2 linked regions of the Caenorhabditis elegans genome follow. The protein of the gene in region 2 interacts with the protein of the main gene of each other region in a biochemical or structural test. Each region holds a gene or a part of one and is shown on either strand. Other genes may lie near its edges.

Region 1 (8,165 bases), on a different chromosome or scaffold from region 2:
TTTTGATTTTGAAATGCGTAGAAATTTTAATAAAAATTTTGGTTTTTTTTTGAAAATTGATTTACTTTTTTTTTTCATATTTTATACAATGGACGTGTGGTAAGGTGGAAGGTTTTTGAATTGAGTAGACTGGAATTTAAGTTAAGGTATAGGTTTAGGCTTAGGCTTAATCCTGTATGTCAAGCTGAAGTCTATGGATTTAGGCTAGCTGACACTTAAATTTTTGAAAAGTATGGCATTAGAGAACTAGAAAATCTCAAAGAGAAAAATATTATATTCGATTTCATCCAAGCCTAATATTCTAAACTATTACTGAATTATCTTTTCCAGTTACCACCTTCAAAAAACTTGAAAAACCACAAAAAGACAGGAGAGACAAAAAAGAGAAAAAAAAAGATTAGGCAGGAGTCAATGCATACGTATTATTATAACACTTATGACAGAATGGCCGACGATCAACTTCTTTGAATGTTCCTTTTGTCAGTTGATGATTACAATATGAGCATCTAAAATGTTCCGGATGGAACTTTCTTCCCATTGCAGCTACACATCTTCCATTAATGGCTCCACGACATTGAGAACAGATTGAACCACGAGATTCATGATAATGTCGCTCACAGAGTGGAGCACCGTTGTGCTCAAAGAAACTTGCACCATTGAAAGAAACTCCGCAATGCTGTAAAGAACAATCCACATATATTTAGGGAAGTTTACAGATGACACACCAAAATAAAAATAATATTTTATTCCAAAAATAAAACTATTGACTACAGCTAAAGGAATAATTCTAAAATATTTCATGCTTAATTATGTCTATATCGACTAGGTAAGGAAAGATACAATAAACCGAAAAACCGAAACATCTTTTTTAATGGTATTATAAAATATATTAGGGGTCAAGGTTTTTATTAATATGAAGTTTTGGAAGGTTCAATCAAACTTGTAAATTTGCACATTTTATAGGTCCCATGTGAACTCAGTCAGTTGGCTCAAAATTAAAAATATATAAACCTAACACTTATAGTTAGTTTTATATAGTTTTATTTTTTTAACTTCAAATGTTACTATTAAAAAAACCACAAAACTCTATCACTGCAGCATACTATCAACGAAAAGCCTCTCATTATAATATTTTCTGGCACTTCACACAAGCCAATTTGCTCCACTCATTAAAAATAAAAAGGGGTAAGAAAAAAAAAACGAAACGAATAGACGAATAGAGAGACACCGACAAGAAACATACCGCACAATCGGTTTTCGATGGTTTCTTTAATTTTTGAATTGACTTCCTTGTTTAACAAATGATAATGAACTAAAAATACCTGACAGACAAAACAATCCGGATGCCAATGAGTTCCCAAAGCGGTGATAAAGTTTGAGGTGATTGGTTGAGAGCAGCCATTGCATTTTGGGGCGAATAGACGGAAGAAGTCACGTTTGCAATAGGTTTGTCCATTCTGAAAGTGTAAACTGAAAGGCTTTTCAAACGGATTTTTTTAACCAACCTTCTCATGGAATCCATCCTCTCCGAATGGTTGATTGCATTCTGCACACGTGAAGCATTCAATGTGGAAGTTCTTGTTCATTACACTCACACATCTCTGGAAACTTAAATTTTGTTTCTCTAATCATTTTTATTTCATGAAAATATATTCAAGATGATTAACAAAAAAAAACACTATTAAACTTGTGTCCACATTAATTTTTGCAAAACTCCACTAATCGGCGTTTTTCGTTGTACATTCAAAACTGGAAATACTACAAATCATGCACAATATTCTGTATTCACTATTATCCAATTGTACCAAATATTTATGACTAAGAATTTTGTAACGTCACTTACATCAGTGATGGCTCGATGACATCCTTGGCACTTTGGACTGAATTGATTGTGATAATCTTCTTCACAAAAAGCACGTCCATTTCTCTCAAAGAATGGGCGTTGTCCAAGTTCGGCACCGCATTCACAGCAAGTGTAATGCTCCGGATGCCACATTTTGCCAAGAGCAATGACGACCTGAAAAATGGTTTTATTTTTCAAATTTGATTTTCTGGACATTCCAAAGTTGAAATTTAATAATTCTTTTTAAAACTATTCTGAGGAAATTTCTAGAGTCTCGTAGTTTAACTAAATACCGCGAGAACATTATTTTGAACTGTCCTACGTCACAGTTAATCAGAATTAAATTTCAGGATGCCAAACAGTAATACACAGCGAAATTAATAAATCCTAGAACTTTTCACATATTCTAGAATTGTTTTATTAAAACGCTCACCTGTCCAATAATCGGTTTTCCACAGGCAGCACAATCTCCTTTTGGAATTGTATTGACTCCATGTTTTGAGCTCAATTCTCCATTCATTGTTCCAATCATTGAATCCGAATGCAGTGGGTCTCTTGATGGAGACCGACCGTTCGATCTCTATAAGTTCCACGTTTTTATGTATATGGGCAACGATTGGAAATGTGTGTTTTCATTCGTTGCGAGACCATTATGACAAATTTATGTTTGTGTGTGTATGTTTTGTTGGAATTGGCATATTTACTTATAGTTAATGGAAAAAGGTTTTTGTCGGAAAGTAAGCTGAAAAACTAATAAAATGAAAAATGACTGAACATTGGTAAGTGGCAACAGAAAAGGTGCAATATGCCAAAAAAACGGGGTAATTTTTATTTTCTAATTTACGTAATGATCTTTTAGACCACACAAAAGTATACAAATCCATTTCTAGAATGCTTTTGGAAACTTTCTGTGAAAAATTAGTAAAATTGCCGCGGCGTATTTTTAGCGAGGTCATTCTGTTTTTGATAGCGGGGTATGGAAGTATTTTCCCTATGTTTTTATTTATCCTCTGTAAACCCGAACTTTGTAATTTCGAAATTTAGATCCCCTTCCCAAATAGTCATCAAAATACACTAAAAATCGTTCCATATGACCTCATTCCAAAAGGTTTCTCATCAAAAACCAAGGAAAAGCTAACAATATCTCCCTTTCTCTATTCCCATCGTTTCACCTTCATTTACACCCCCGCTTCAACCTCTAGAAGCCCCCCGTACTGTTTGCTCGTGGAGCTCGTCTGTGTCTCTTCTTCTCACATACTCTCTAGCACGTGTTTCCACGTAAAAGAAAGAGCCACGCGGCAATAAAAGAAGGTTTTACAAACAGAAATTTCGCTCCACTTTTCGTTTTTTTTTTGTTGCTTCCTCTCCTTTTACTATGTTGTAAAATATGAAACTGAAAAGTTTTTGAAAAATGTGACGAAAACGAGGGAGACAAATAGTTGCTCTCAGAACATGAAAATAAGGGAAAAGAAGAAGCAGAGGAAGTAGTGGAGCATCTGAATTTTATGGGGATACGCTTGCATTTGGGATTAATGGAATCCTACAAAACAAGCAAGATGAGCAATGTATTCAAATTAAATGAGGAGACTATGTTGTGAAATGTTGCCAAATCTTTTATGATCTTTCAAATTGGAGCAATGACGTTTAAGTGAAAGAATTGTGGATTTTGATAAACCATACTAGTAATAGTCCATCATGACCTAATACCATATTTAAACACTCTACATTTTTTCTTGAGATTTTTGAAAGTTTTGTCAAGAAATGGTCAACTTAGAACAATTGAACAAAAATTAAATAATATTCTGGTGGATTTCTTGAATTACCAGTGGCAAAACCCGAGTAATTGCCAATTTTTGACAGTAAATTGAATATTTCAAAAAACATTTTGAAATTATTTTTATTTCAAAAAGTCCCAAAAATTTCAAGAAACCTTTATTTTAAAAGAATGACCGAATTTTCTACTTTGTAGTCATGTGACCAAAATAGGAAAAACTACAAATTCATAAAGTTTGCGTCTAAGTTGAATACATATCGTTCAGGATCAGTAAATTAGGTTTTAAAATTTGTGAACACAGAAATATCCGGAATTAGATTTGTAGAGATTGGGAAAGTTTAATGAAGATTCTGGGATTTTGAAAATTCTAATTTAAGGACATTTTTAATTAAGGTCTCCCAACGAAAACATTTCAGTTTCCCTTCCCAGAAGCTCCCCCCGAAAAGAAATAAAAACTTACGACATCAGAGTAGGATTGTGCCTGACTTGGTGGTCCGAGACTCTTGCGTGAGCTATAAACCGAATGATGTTGTTGGTGGTTTGAATGACTATTTTGTGCATAATTTGGACCATTGAAATGGTCAAGCCGTTGTTGCAACTCGCGCATCATTCCGCCAAGTGATAGGTAAAAGTGTTGTGTGCGTGGAAAAGAAAAAGGTGTGCTGCTCCTTTTCTCTATATTTTTCTTTCTCACTTGATAGAGAGTAGGTACTCTCCCGCCCTACAGCATTTTACCCCTGTTGAGCTCAAGAGATACTGAGCAAGACGAAGAAACTCAGTGAAAAATAAAATAACCGGCTCCTCCTCTGTACCGGGGAAGAAGAGATGATTTGCGACACGGGATGAGACGAGTAGAAGTAATATGCGTGTATGTTATTAGTCTTTTTTCTCGTTCTTCCCTTCACATTTGAGTTTTTGTTTGTTCCCGGGATTTTAGACGCAGAAACACGGGAAATGACCTAAGAGCCGGCGGGAAAATGGAACACGGAGTTGGCATTTTGATAAACGGGCTTGACCATTTCAAATCGGAATTTTCTAGTTTTATATTTTCAACATTTTTATTTTCGGAGCTATTTTTGGAACTTAAAGGCCATTTTTCTTTTGTTGTCTGGAAAGCTTTTAGAAATTAAAAAAATATATATCTGAACCAATTTTCGTGATATACATAAGTTTTCAATTTTTTTGAAGATGCACAAAAAATGTTGATATAAAAATTAACAATTTTCAACAAATCTTATAAAAATGTCGAGGCCTTAAGTGAACTTTCTAGGCTACAAAAAATTATGAATTTTCGAATTAAAATGCCTAATAGAATTCTAAATTCTGAATTGTTGGTCTAACATTTTTTGTGTGTTCTAGGCCATTGATTTATATTTTCGCATTCTCAGATGTAAGATGTTAATGTTTTACAGATTTTTTTGAAAGTGCCAATCAAAATTTTTTAAATTTTTCCTTTTAAGAATCCTAATCGCAAGATTCTTGAAATTATTAAATCAGAAGATTTGAAATTAATATTTAAATTGACTCATAGTATAGCTTTTTAAAAGGTTTTTCTAGGCCACGAATTTCAAAATATGACTCCGAAGATAAAAATGTTTTCAAAAAAACAAAAAACGTTTTCTCCTACCTGCTTGCTCGAATTGGTGGTTCTTCGACTTGAGACAATAGACTTTGGACACTTGGACGTGAATAGACTGGTGGGTTAAGTCTTGATTCATTTTCTACAGATACAATTACATATTAATGTTCTTTACATGAAAAACAAACCATAAATCCTTTCCTGACTTTTTGAATAATCTTTTCCTTCTGACGAACGACGTTTGTAGGGTGAAGTGGTTATATTTCCATTGCTCACACTGACACAAATATTAGATGTTTAGTTTATGTTAAAACATGTATGGAAAGGTTTGTAACATTAAAAAAAAACTAACCTCTGTGTGTTAAGATTTCCCTGAAGATCATAGGATTGCTCAAAATCATCACGACTCTGTGAGCGGCGATCACTTATATGAGCACGGCGGAGCACTTCTGTGGTGTGTTGAAGATCCGATAGAAGGGCTTCTGAAATTAAAATAATATATTTATTTATTTTTTGTTTCAATTACAGAATTTGAACTCTTCAATGTTTCAAATTGAAAAGTGAAAACCCACTTTTTAAGAATTTTATTATTGAAAACTATCAAGTATGAAAATCATATAAATTTTCAAAATTATGATAATTCCATCCAAATATTAATAAGTTTCCCATTAATCAAAAAACTCATAATTTCCAAACTAGTACTACGACTACTACTGGGAGCATTTCTCCACCGGAAAGCCTCCATTAGAAAGTTCTTGGGTACCTAAAGCTGGTTTAACCGCATCCGCAAAACGATCGTCGCTTGGCATTCTTACTGAAATATTCAAAAAATGTTCAGGAGAAAATCAAGAAAAAAACAATTAAAAGGCGGACGAAAGAGCTTTATTAGAAGTTATAATGTAATTGGATTTTATAAAAAGTCCAAAATTCAGTTATTTCAGAACCTCAGAATGCAACCCGACGGCTTAGTCAAGTTTCGGAAAATCAACAAATTATCAATTGATCGAATTTACAACAAGATGTTCAAAATAGTAAAAAACGGTACCAATGAGGGTGTATAAAAGAAGGAAAAGTGCAATAATAGATGAGTGTGTATGCATGTGTATGGGGACCACTAAAAATGTGAGAGAATGTGTCAAAATATGTGTGAGTGAGTGGAAAAAAGTGGGAGGAAGAAGACAAAAAACGATGAAGAAGCCGACAAAAAAAAAGAAAAAAGGAAGAAAGAAAGAGGAGGAGAAGGAAAAAAGATTTATGGAGATGACATAAAAGAAGTACAAAACATTGAAAAAAGAATAGCATCTGGATAACAAAAATACAAATTTTTATTTATAAAAATTACAGTTTGATGAGGAATCCTCAGAAAATAATCCAGTAGCCTAAGTTTTTAAAATATTGAAAAGGATGTCTAATAGTAAGTAGACACTTCACCTCTCAAATTTTTAAAGTAGAAGTGTCTACTTTTCATTAAAAAAATTTAAATTAGAAGTGTCTATTTTCCCATAAAAAATTTTTTAATGTAGATATGTCTACTTTCCATATATTTTAATTTGATTAATTTGCTTCTCAGAATAGGAATGATCATTTTGATATTAGTTAAAGCTTGATCAATAGGAAAACTTAGTTTAATTGTGAAAAAGTGTTAAGATAATTTTGGTTCAAATTTAAAATTGTGAAAAAAAAACTTTTTTGTAGAATTCCAAAATTAAGAAGGTGAGAACTAGCCACTTTTTGACTACACTATTTTAAAAAAACATTTGAACCGTTTTCTATGATATTAGGACATTTTAGCAACATATAGGAATGGTTTTATGCAATTCAGTTCGTTAAGAGTTTTTTCAATTACACATATTCCTAGTACATGTTTTTGCTAATTGAATTGAAATTTAATTAGAAAATAATCCAGGTTGCTGGAAATAATTGGTACTTGGAAAAGGGATCGATAACGAGGAAATATTTAAAAAAACCTTGAAAGTCAAATCAGTAATCCAATCTAGTAATCCAATCTCTCTTTTTCGAAAAAAAAAATTTTTGGAAAATCTAAATAAATTATTAGCAACATGACCGCCAAAGAAAGCGATGACCGAGGTATCCCTTTTCTCGGCCAAGTAGCAGAAGTCTCCCTATGACAAGAGATACATTGAAATCACATATTCCGTTTGAATAGATCACATTTTAAACGGTGTTGTGAAACCGGATCGAGTACTAAAGGAACATGCCAATCATGCATGAAAAATGAGAAATGTCAAAACTTTTATGAATTTCTACGGTATATTGTGAAAGTTGTTTGGAAGTTCTTGAAACTTCTTGAAACTATTATTTTACCAGAATATTATTTGATTTAAGGAAAAACTAGAAAATGGAACATGGGAATTCTTCATGATCTTGGCCCTTAATCTTTAGGAGTTTCTTCAAAAAAGAGAAGAGATAGACGATAAAAGGAAATAGTGTGAAAGTTAAAGAGATACAGAGACAGACACATAAACGACACATAGAAAAGAGCGGGAAGAAATGGAGGCAAAGTTTTTGTTTTTGAATCAAGAATGAGCGGGAGGAAGAGATTGAGATGTACACAGGCTTGAGGGAATTCGAATTGAATTCGATTGAAATGTAACTAAACGGCTGCCGTAAGATAGTAAGTACGACGGTTGATCTAAAAATGATACAGTTTCTAAAAATGTGGCTCTATACAATTGATGAAATTTATTAATGGTACTGGCTCTAAAGACTCTAGATAAAACTCTCCACTGGTTAGAAAGAAAACTATGCTCTAAAATGTCTTGTAATAGTTAGTGAAGCTAGCAAAAAAAGTCTCCAAGAGACTCAAGAGATCTGCTCACAGTAAAACAAAAAAACGCGTCAAGAGTGTCTCTCGCCTCCCACCGCATGCTTTAACTTTTTGATGACAAGTTTGCGCCGCCACGGATATAAATAAAACCATCGAAATGACTTTGAAAAGATCATGGAGA
Region 2 (4,969 bases):
ACAGTTTTTGTCTGAGTGAATGAGGAAAGTATTTGAAAAGACTCAAACTGTGATACAAAAATAATAAATTATTAAGTAATAAGTTCAGACTACGTCCGAATCTCACTAAACTGAAAACCGTAAGAACAATTGTCACGCAAAAACAAAGGCTTTTTAAATGTTCACGTGGTGTCAGGATGTTCTTTCACGGTTTGATCTACAAAAATGCGAAAATTTTTTCGCCCAAAAAATGTGACGTCAGCACATTCTTTACCATGCGAAATCAGTTGAGAACCTTGCGTCTCAACTCCCGCATTTTTTTGTAGATCTATGTAGATCAAACCAAAATGAGATACTCTGACACCACGTGAATGCTGGAATAGCGCAGATAAGAAGCGAAAAAAACAGTTCTGCTTCTGAGTTTTTCATTTTTAAATTTCTGAAACGAGCAGTTTTTTTAAGTTTCGCATGTGATTGTTTAACTTAAACTAATTTTCTTAGGCTTGTTTTTTTACTTAAAACCAACTATGTGTTTAAAGCATCACATGAAAACATTATTTTGTACATTATTTCAAACATTTGGGGAAAAACAATATTTTTCAAATTATTAATGACTCTATCAAACATTGAAAAGTAATACATACATGATGAGGCGCAATTATAGAAATACATTTCTATGAGCTTAACGATTTCTTTAAAAACTATTAGAAAGGTTACCTTAATAATTTGCTTGTTTTCACTTTTTTTTTTGTATATTTCAGCAGTTTACAGTTAAATTTATCAGCGGTCTTTTAGACTTTGGAGCCTCCCACGTTATTTTTTTCGAATGAATGCACGTGCGTTCATAACAATTGGTTAGAATTGCATTTTTCTAAAAAATCTAAGATTTTTTCTATCATTTTTAACACTAGAAAGTTTATTCCGAGTCATGCCATTTACGAGAAAAAATCATCTTGTTCCGTTGTGAATGAAACCAATAAACATCTACTTCCAAAATTTTCCATTGATATACACAAATTATAATAGAATTTTCTCTAAAAAAATGTCACAGACTGAAACACTACATACAAGAAAATTTTTAAAAATTCCCAATTTGGCAACCGATTTTTTTCAAATTTTACAAGCTCTATAATTAGTCCTTGAACACCTAATATAATTGTCATGAGTAAATGTTTTACTATCAGTAATATCAAGCTGTGGAAGTTCAATAAATTGTATTTAGCAGTTACAGTCACTTATAGTGTTCTTGGAATAGTCCAAATTAAGTTTTCAGACATATCCTCCCTGTATCCAGTAGGTACATGACAGCCCGGAGAAAAATTAATTTAAAGTCAACACTGCTAACATGTTCAAAAACATGTGAAAAGAAGGACTAATGATTATGGTAGAAGTGGGAACATTTTTATTGCGATAGTTACGATCATCATTATGGTGTTACCACTGCGTAGAAAAGTTGGTCAAAAATACAAGATTCTAACGGTATTTTTCAATCATCTTTGCTTCACGGCAAAAATCACAGTTGAGGTAACTGAGAAGTGGAAATCTTTAATATTTTTATAAAGGTTAAAATTTAAAAAAAAAGAATAAACTAGGAATCAAAAAACAATACTTATAATTTTCACTGTCAACAATTTGCTACTGTAGCCTGAAGACGCATCTAGTTTTTTTAGCTCTCGTCACGATTTCAGTGATAATTCTTGCTAAAGGTGTCAAATTACACCGATTTGTTCTTTTGATAAAAAAATAAACATTTAAAATATGATTACTTTGGATTTTGACAAGTCCTAGTTGATCTCTTTTTCACCGCGTTCAAAACCAAAACATTAACAAATCTAATCAAACTCTGCGGGTCATTGTGTAATGTGTTGTTTCCGCCGTACACATATCTCACTCAGTTACACATCTGGCAGAAATCTTGCTCTCGGTCATTTTTGATAACTCTTACAATCTTGTTTTTGTTCTTGTTAGGTACTTTTTGAGTTACATTTGCTAACATAGTATTATAGGTTGCAGAACCATAATTCAGCGAAAATTTATTTAAAAGTAGTTGAAAATTCACACGCAGATGAAATTCACTTCAAGCAATAGATAAAAGTAGCTAAAACCATTTTTCAAGATAAATATGCATTAATAAAACCAAATTGATGAGTGAAAGCCTCAGCCGAAGCTTAAACCCGTGGAGGAAAAAACAATCAAAATATCTTTTATACACGGTATCGTAAACTTTTGAAATATAATGGGAGCTCACTACTTGAAAGAAAAAAGTTCACTAACCTCTCTGACGTCAGCCCGTAATCTGGACTTGGGCACGTTCTATCCAACAAATCTACGGCAACTGGAGCAACATTTGGGCTCAAAGAAGATTTGAGGTTGAGCAGAGATAACCCCTCTTCTATTAATGCTGATGAGGTTCCGGAAATTTTCTGGAAAATGGAGAGTATTCGGATTTATGCAATTACTAGAATTTCTAATTCTGTCATAAACTAAAGCGTGAAGATTTACCAATTTCAAATTAATTTTTGAGAGTTGCATCCAATATAATTTTTGTTGACGTTATTAGTCTTTTTTTTTTACAAAACTGCATAAACAGTTTTTTTTAAATCTCGTACTGCGAATTAATCAATTGATATCCTAATCTATCCAGATCCCAAACTACTTGTTTGTTTTAAGAAACATTGAGTATATTTAATAAGATGAGCGTTTTGTGATCATAGTCTACATTTTTTGTCTATTTTAATCCTCTATATTTTTTTCGGCATCACAGAAAAATTGTCTAGACATACACTACATTCTATATTATGCTCTTGTAAAATGTGATCAAAGATTCTCAGTTCATATGAAAGGGAGGTATTGACTTTTGAAAAACTATTTTCCAGTTCATACTTTTTTGTATTCCCTTAGACTTTAAATCAAAGTATTTGACATTCAAAAATCCCAACTGAAGAGAAACAATTTCAAAATTTTCAACTATCTTCAAAAATAGGCTAAAGCTTTTCGAAAAATGTACGGACTGGGTGCAAACCGATAAAATGTAAAATGCTGCCTAAACTCTCAAAAAACTCAAAACTTTCAAAGCATATACATATATATATATATTTCTCGTTTTTCACACCACCCTTCTCTTCTTACAGGAATCTCATTTTCCAATCCGCTGTCTGATCTCACAACTGATCGAACTTTGGGTTTCTCCGGATCCAGGTTGAGATTCACATCTTCAGTTTCACTCATTATCCAAGTCTTCTGGAAAGTAACAGCTCAGGGATGAGTAGAAAAAGATGAAAAAGTTGGCAAGAATGTATGAGACAGAAACTTTTCTGTTTGAGAAATTGAGTGGTGCTCAGGGGATTTGCTCACCGCCTTTTTGATTGGAATGTCAATGTCGCGCGAGAGTTTCAAGTTTTTTTCGGGATACAGGTAATGTTTTTATAGGGGTATCAGTGTTTTTGGCCCACAATATAAAAAACAAAAGTATTTCGCAATAGTTGGTTGGAGGCTTTTTCAATTAGAATTTGATGCATGTTTTCAAATATATACATGTAAGTTTTGAAGATTTAGAGAAATTAAACATACTTAGCAGAGCAAAATAAAAAAGTTAACAAAATCGAAAAATAAATTAATTAAAGCACCAACAAAAAAAAACAAAAATCCGAATACAAAAGATAAAAGAGTGGGGTGAATGTTGAGAGGTCTTCCCGTGAATAGAGGAGAAAAGTGTGCGTGCTCAGAGAGCCGGGAACGACTGCGCCTCTCTGATCACTGCACTCTCGCCCCCCCCCTCCCGACTACCTCCCGTCTTCTTGACGATCTCAACACAAAACCTGTGTAAAGCCAACGGGCGTATCTCCTCTCTTTCTCTCTTCCTTGTCCCTCGGCAAAAGAGCACTAGCTGCGATTCGATGATTTTTCTCAAACCCCCCCCCCCCCCCCCCCCCACAAATCGGGCCGGCGTCCTCGTGTTTCAGTTTGTGAAAAATGGTGCTGCCATCGGGTTACTGATTTTTTCAAGTTAAAGTATTGCAGTTTGTTTTACAATTATATGAATCTAATCAGGCTTGATCAGGCCGCTGAAATTTGAAACGGTAATTTCAGACAAATAATAGCCGTATGGGGGATGTGAAAATCTTCTAGAACAACTGCAGAATCTCAGTTGCGGCTACATGCTTGGGAGATAGCTTAACCTGAAATCTAAAAGGGCTTCTAAAATGTTCTAGCTGATGAAAAAAATCATTTACTGTACTTCAATTCTGTAGACTGAATTCGTTTTACTTTTTTCCCAGTTTTTAGATTAAGATAACTCCTAAGATTTATTGTCAATAACGTTTCTTGAAACAAACAAAACTAATTTTCTCTTGAAAAAAGGGAAAAAGGGTGACATTTAACGCCAGGTAGCTCTGAAAATTTGAATTATCAAAAAAGTAAACCTGAATCAGAATTAATCGAAAGATAATCAAAGCAACAGTGGCTCGTACAAAAAATGGCAATATAAAAGCAGTGAGGAAAAGACCGTCATTTCCGGAATCAAAGATAACTCTCAAAATTTCTGGAAAAAAATCTGTGTTGACTGAAATACTTATGATAAAGTTGATCAACAATTTTAGATTTTTCTTAATCATTCAAACTTCTTGGAAAATTGCCAAAGTGCTTTCGAAACCAGGAAAAAAAACACAAAATCAACATTATACTTGAAAAAACCACTATAGCTTAATTTTTGATTTTAATCTGGCGCGCAACTAAATTTTTGCCAGATCCCTCGAAAGATCAATAATTTGAAAGCATCAACACTTTCTCCCGTCAGATTTATTCTGGACTCGCCTTCATTTTTCACTTCAAATGGTTTCTTACGTAGTCACTTAAAAGCTCCCTATAATCTTGACTTGATTTTTGTTCCCAGTTTGATGAAATAAAAACATTTTATTAATTACTAATACGAAGAACATGATATAACTTTTTGGACATTTTGTTAGTTTTTGAATACAAGACTATTATTATT

What was found.
Region 1: the proteins of unc-96 (region 2) and pxl-1 form a complex in vitro, tested with the Caenorhabditis elegans proteins (one study listed by BioGRID).

Annotation. Positions count from the first base shown.
Region 1 is NC_003281.10:5,890,002-5,898,166, forward strand, and holds pxl-1 (Paxillin homolog 1), read right to left. Parts: upstream 6,011-8,165; 5' UTR 6,006-6,010; coding exon 5,960-6,005; intron 5,679-5,959; coding exon 5,549-5,678; intron 5,474-5,548; coding exon 5,385-5,473; intron 5,339-5,384; coding exon 5,245-5,338; intron 4,286-5,244; exon of another isoform or gene 4,228-4,285; coding exon of another isoform or gene 4,130-4,227; coding exon 4,078-4,129; intron 2,424-4,077; coding exon 2,277-2,423; intron 2,018-2,276; coding exon 1,844-2,017; intron 1,602-1,843; coding exon 1,506-1,601; intron 1,458-1,505; coding exon 1,323-1,457; intron 677-1,322; coding exon 398-676; 3' UTR 272-397; downstream 1-271. UniProt on the Caenorhabditis elegans protein: Required for myofilament organization of the pharyngeal sarcomeres and for pharyngeal muscle contractions and hence for pharyngeal pumping. Together with lin-8, might be required for myofilament organization in the body wall muscles.
Region 2 is NC_003284.9:618,072-623,040, forward strand, and holds the start of unc-96 (CRE-UNC-96 protein), read right to left. Parts: upstream 3,220-4,969; 5' UTR 3,208-3,219; coding exon 3,109-3,207; intron 2,403-3,108; coding exon 2,254-2,402; intron 1-2,253.